Linked DNA regions of Tribolium castaneum. The protein of the gene in region 1 interacts with the protein of each later gene in a pairwise test. Links are inferred from orthologs where the notes say so. Each region holds a gene or a part of one and is shown on either strand. Other genes may lie near its edges.

Region 1 (3,007 bases):
AATTGCATTTGAACCAATGTACTTTTATTCAAACCTTCTTAGCCTTTATGGTTTATATTCACTTCAAAAAAAAACACTACCGCAGCTACTACCAAAAACAAAAGGTAACCCAGAAGAGCCTTTTAGTACATCATCAAAATTTTGTATCTGAGTTCGTGCTTAGATACGTCTTTAAATCGAAAATTTAATTTTGCTGCACCCACATGACACGTAACATACTATTTCGAATGCGCTTTGATAAATGTCAAGTGATTGTCTTCACATATGTGGGTAAATCCCCGACCACGCCTTTAATACCAACCTAACGAAAATTAGGTGCGTGTATGTTGGGTTGCGTTTATTTTCTCCTAATTTTTTTTTCTCATTTATTTATCAGAAACGAGTCCGATAATTAAGGAATCCTTTAAAACAAAGATTTTTCGGTTTTGATTTTGTTAATTGATAGACGTAAAATTTGTACACGGGTAAGAAATAAGCAACAGCCCAGGGCGGGTTTAAAATATTAATTTTAACTCTTATATTTAATTAATTACAACACAACATCTGGAGGACAGGCACTATGTAAAAACTGTTAATCCAATTCTAAAGATATTTTATAATTAGCTTTGTCATAATAAATAACATCTATTAAAAATTTAAAACTAACAGCATCCAGCGTAACAGAATCATTAAAATCACAAGACCATAAGTTATTTATATAGTTTCATACAGAATCATCTGAAACATAAAATAATCAGGAATTGTGGGTTACATTATAGGAGATAATACCGTGATACCACCACTTTGTCTTCTTTGGATTTTTATTGCAAGTTTTTACATAGAAAGCATTATCGGGAGGTCTTTGCTGTAAAACAAGATTAAAAATACTGTAATACTAAATAAGGTCTCACCTTTTCTTTACAACTACTGAGCATAGAAACAATTGAAAGACAAACAGACTGAACAGACAGTGCAGGAGACCAATCATCTGTTAATATGGAAAGGCAAATATGTCCATTGCTGTAAATATGCGGGTGAACTGGAATGTTATTGCCTACAAACGTCACCTGGAACGCAAACAATATAAACACAATACTAGTCTAACAAAAAATCCCATACTTCTGGTGAATCAAAGGGATATTTGTTACTAAATTTAAACTGCAATTGAAAACGTTCTCCTTCGTACAATGTACCTGCAGCCCCTTCCATATTAATGATCCAACTAGAAGTCATGTATTTAGCATTGTTATTGGCAGTTTATTGCTAACTTACTGCAATAAATTTTGCTCTGCCAGATCGAAGTCGACTTCAACTCCTGGTGGAGGTTCTTTCATCAGTGACATGAGCTCCTTTTGCAACCTTCTCTAAATTGAGAGATTTCGTGAAGAGGTTAGAAAAACAATGCAATTTACTTACTTCAGACGGCGACAACCCTGCCATTTTGGAATTAACTTTTCATCATACCACAGATTAGATTGTGAGATTTTAACTGAACACAGATCAACAGACTTTAATTTAGCTTCAAATAAATAGCCAAAAACTTACTTTTGACGTTCAAAACAACCGACCAAATTACCTACTGTCCCCCAATGCTCCTCAATTCACGAACAATGGACAGATAACCATGGTTCCAAAGTAAATAATTCTATTATTCATTCCCGCCAGTGGCGGAGAGACCATGGGGACAAATCGAGGATTTTTTTGCCAGCCTCAACGATTTGTCTTATGTATACACTACTATAGAAAAACCAAGACCCAAGTGCCCTATGGTGAACGCTTTTTTAAAAGATTCATCAAAAGTGTCGAATTTTTTTAATACCACAATTTGACTGATTTGATTTTCCGCTATGTCACAGAAAAGTTATATTTCTATTTTCGGTTTGACAACTCATATAAAAGTTAATGCCAAGAGTACCAAATTTCTACTACAATGGTTTTTATGAAAGTGAACCGAATATAGTTGTCTATTAATAAGGGCTTAATCCTAAATATAAAATAAAACGTTATTAAAAAAAAACTAATTTTGGTTCATTTTCATAAAAAACATTGTGGCGGAATTAACTAAGATTTTACTATGACAACTCATATAAAAGTTAATGCCAAGAGTACCCAATTTCCACCAAAATGTTTTTTTATAAAAATGAACTGAATGTAAAATTTGGTCCGGTAGTACTTGAATTGCAGAGTGTTAAGAAGTTGTTTTTTACTTAATTATTGACCGGAATTAGCAGGAAAGCAAATATATATATTCATTTCAGTTTACAGTAGAATTTTGCAACAGCATTTTTTGATTAAAAGGAGCACAAATTGAGAGTTTTTGGTGGGTTTTCTTAGCTCAAAGTGTGTCGCTGAGATTAAGTTTAACATAGATTTTTTTTCCTAAACAAAAACTCCATGGAGCGCAGCGACATTTGACGTAAGTTGGCTATGATTGTTTTATACAATATTTGATAACCACCCGGTGGATTTCTAAAACAAATGTAAAATTTAAATTGGGAAGCAAATAGTACTGCTTGTGGTAGTGCTTTTATTATTATTATCACAGTTATTATCTGTATTATGAAAAAAATTTCGCACGCCTATGCCTATGCCCTATCCTTGAAAATGACGTTTAGCGTTTGGTGATTTTGTGACTAACTTCACCATTATTGTGGTTGAAGGTTTTTTTGATTATTTGTAAGGTGCAAAAATGCGATGACGTTTGTTTCTAAATAGTCTTAAGATAATTGTTATTCAACTGTAAGACCGGTGGTATTGAATGATATTGGTTGATTAATTGAAAATATTTTAGTAAATAAGTACAAAAAGCGAATGATGTAGATAGAGACTCATCGGCTGCATAACAATGAATCTTGGGGGTGTTATCCGACTAAACAAGACAGGGCTGTGTGTAATATCGGGAGCTGTGCTGATATTGTTTATTTACGTGTTTACTACAAGTTCAAATAATGATCCTCCAAGCGTTAAGATAAATTTAAAGCAGCTCTTGGAGGTAGCAATTAAGGCAGCGGAAAATGGGGGCAAAGAA
Region 2 (3,516 bases), on another chromosome or scaffold:
GCGACGTTGCGGCTGAGGAGCGTCCACTTGCAAATCGGGAGGATCGATTCGCGACGTTGAGGGCGTTTGAATGTTGAGGGCTAGACGACAAGTGGGACAGGAAGTGTCTTGCTCCAGCCACGACAACAGACAAGTGCTGGAAAAATTTGTTATTTTTATTTAAACAGTTGGCTGTAACTCACTTGTGAAACAAATGAGTGCACGGTAACTTCCTCGCCGACTCCATTTTTTCCCAACAGATGGCGCAGTTGTCGGAATTGTCGGCCAACTCTTCGGACGACGCCATCGGGTAACTAAACCGAAACAGAATTTTTCTAAGAAAGAATGATATAATAATGGAAACGTACTTCTGTTCGAGATGATTCCTGACCCACAGATAATTCCTGTGTTTTTTGTAGCGCCGCTGAATCTCGTGGAACAAATATCTCAACTGCATACAAATCACTAGACTAGCCATTGAGAGGAAAATGTTACTCCAAACTAGCATATGAAGATGATGAACGAAATCGATTATTAAAGCTGTCAGTTCGAAACTCAATTCCGTGTAATAGGCGATGGGACCTCGTTTTTCCCAAACTCGATTCTCTTCATTTGCACTGACTGAAGACGCACCTTCTTGTCGCATGTCGTACAGATGCAAGGCGTACCGGATTATCACATGCAGAGTACGAATACTCAATAACACCACCTGGAAATCAGGAAAAAACAAACACCGTGTAATTATTTGTAAAAATAGAAACTCATCGTTACGATAACTGGATTAAAGCGGTCGGAAAAACATCCAATTATCACCAGAAAAAATTGCATTCGTGTGAAATAAACTAATCACTAATTACCTCAACGAAACAATATATTGTCACAACAGGAACAATTAGAATTAAGATTAATTATTCATGGGTTAAATGAAACGCCTCTCATATGTGTTAATTAAAACTTTATACGAAACACTTAGGTGATTAAACGCTAAATTATTCCGTCAGTCTACAGAAAAAATCTTTCGAACCAATTTGAAAATCTCGCAACGTTGAATTGAAATAAAACATCTACGTCTTGCAATGATTGACGTCAGTTGATCTATTTTCCGATTTATTAAGACCATTACCCGTATTTTTTTAATAACTGAGCGCAACAAGTACAAAAACCAATTTAAAAATAATAAAACATGAATGAGTCAATTTTTAATTAGGTGTTGATTCACCCACATGTGTGTGGTAATTTATGTTTACGAACTCGCGTAAACAAATCTTATTTTAAGATGTCCAAAAACCTCGTTATTGACATAATTTTACAAATAAAAAAATACTGTTGCAAGAGACACCCACGATACCCGGATTACAATTTTGCGAAACTTGTTAGTCTTTGCCGAACTATGAGTAAATTATTACTCACGTTTGAAAGTATAAGCGGTAAAGAATTAATACTGCCAAAAATGTAAAACACTGTCTACTTATTCGGGTCAACCTCTGGATATTTTTCAGGCGTTAAAACGATATCATTATGGTATAAATTGCGTTTTCCCGTTGGAAACACCATAATAGGAATAAATTAGATAAATTATAGCCGTCTCCAAGTTGACGTTCGTTGCAGGCGGCGTCGGCCATAAAAGATGCATACGCCACGTAAGAAATTACATACCTCAGCAGACATGAAAGCAAACGTATTAAATCCGCCGAAGAATCCCACAAAGACCGACACCAGCAGCATGAAGCCCGATAGTGTGAAAATCGCAGTTAGCAAGAACAAAAGCTTCACGTGGCTCCACAGCGGCGTAGTCGGCGAAAAAGACAGCTGAAAAAAATCGGTTATTGGGAAAATGCGGTAAACCGGTACTTACATATTCGAATCTGTCTTTGCTGAGCTGGGAGAGGAGATGCAGAAATCCCAAAAGGGAGAACCACGAGCACCACAGCAACACCTCATCGATGTATTGAACGTTGATGATTCCGAATACGAAGATGAATTTATAAAATACGAAATTCCAAAACTTATCTTTGAGATGTTGCTGTTCAGAGACGCGTAATTCGCCAAACACCAGCTTCTGGATCGCGGTACCCACGAGGATGAGCCAACAGAAAGCCATGTTGATCATGGTCTGGAAATGAGAAATTGCTTCAATTGGATGTTTCGAAAGCTAATCATGCCGACTTTTTTTGATTATTGTTTCAACTCGGTGTAAAGTGACTAGTGGGTCAGGGATTTCGAGTTCGTTTAACTCGCTGCAGTTCATTTTCCTTTAAGATAGAAAATTACTGTTTCGTTGGCCGAAGAAGTGGTACCGCAAAAATTATACTGTTTTGGTAATACTATTACGTAATCTGCGAGAATTAATGAAATTAAAACTTTTACTCCTACGAAGACACCGCTCCATAATAAGAATAGTTCAACAATAGACAACCTACTTAAATGTGAATCACTTAGTGTTATTTATTTGTACCGATAAGTTTCGAGCTATGACATGCAACAGAATTTAAATTGTGATTTCGGAATTTAAAACAATCCCTTATCAAAAAAAATACTTTTTATCACGATTGGCATATTTGTGTATACAAATTTAAACCTTGGCGATAAATAATTATTTTAAAAATGTGAGGGTTATTATAATGCTATTAATACAATGTATTCATTTTTAGATTTTTGAAATTTTAGAAAATGTAATAAAATAATATTAGAACGCGGATCTGAATATGCGTTCCCTCTTAGGTTGAATCGTTGCAAGCTCACGATTCTAAAAAAGAATTTCTAAATCTGGATATAGGCCCTGTTTCTGGAAACATATTTAACGGAATGATAAATTTAAATCTCAGTTAAAACATCAACGCCAACCAGATACGCATTACCTTAGCAATACATACTAACAGTTTAATCGTACCAGAAATCGGGCCTTAATAATTTGAAACTTATCTATACAGAGTGATCTAGCTCAGCTCCCGGCTTCTGTATTTCAGTTATGGGTAAAATCACTATACCGTTTGCATGTGGGAATGAGCTTCTTTCATTTGTTATTCATGCTATGATGACTAAAAATTCAGTCAGGATTGTGGAAATCAAATAGTAGGCTGAAAAAGTACATACCATTTACCATAGCTTTGCAAAAATTGTTTAAAATACCGAGCCACACGCAAACCGTCGTGAACTGATACATATTAGTATACGGATTATTTGTAAGCGTTAGAGAGAAAAAAAATATGAAATAAATATTTTAAATATTACATCAGATGTTCAAATTGATGACTATTTTGGTCTAAGCACAAACGAATTCTTCGTTTACAATTCGCATGAACCCTTGCCGTGAGATTTAAAGATTAACATTCCATTTACAGTAAACAGATAAAATAAATGGTAATCCGGGCCTGAAAAATTCTTACCAGCTGCCTCAACCTTCAGACCTAACAATGATCGCGTGCCAATTTTACGACAAATGCAATAAATTTTTGAAAATTCTATAATTCTACCAAAATTCATGGGAAAAAAGCTGCCCCAATATCAAAACGCAAATTAAAAATCAAAAACATATTT

The links. The genes of interacting proteins can lie anywhere in the genome.
Region 2: the proteins of ubiquitin-conjugating enzyme E2 W (region 1) and E3 ubiquitin-protein ligase AMFR interact in a two-hybrid assay, tested with the Homo sapiens proteins (2 studies listed by BioGRID and IntAct). The link is inferred for Tribolium castaneum from reciprocal best matches to the Homo sapiens genes UBE2W and AMFR.

Annotation. Positions count from the first base shown.
Region 1 is NC_087394.1:30,473,442-30,476,448, reverse strand, and holds ubiquitin-conjugating enzyme E2 W, read right to left. Parts: upstream 1,683-3,007; 5' UTR 1,525-1,682; intron 1,469-1,524; 5' UTR 1,420-1,468; coding exon 1,396-1,419; intron 1,344-1,395; coding exon 1,252-1,343; intron 1,202-1,251; coding exon 1,099-1,201; intron 1,047-1,098; coding exon 891-1,046; intron 845-890; coding exon 769-844; intron 718-768; coding exon 704-717; 3' UTR 503-703; downstream 1-502. Other genes in the region: putative inositol monophosphatase 3, read left to right, coding at 2,825-3,007. UniProt on the Homo sapiens protein: Accepts ubiquitin from the E1 complex and catalyzes its covalent attachment to other proteins.
Region 2 is NC_087396.1:17,618,555-17,622,070, reverse strand, and holds part of E3 ubiquitin-protein ligase AMFR, read right to left. Parts: intron 2,093-3,516; coding exon 1,835-2,092; intron 1,789-1,834; coding exon 1,636-1,788; intron 689-1,635; coding exon 348-688; intron 294-347; coding exon 183-293; intron 137-182; coding exon 1-136. UniProt on the Homo sapiens protein: E3 ubiquitin-protein ligase that mediates the polyubiquitination of lysine and cysteine residues on target proteins, such as CD3D, CYP3A4, CFTR, INSIG1, SOAT2/ACAT2 and APOB for proteasomal degradation.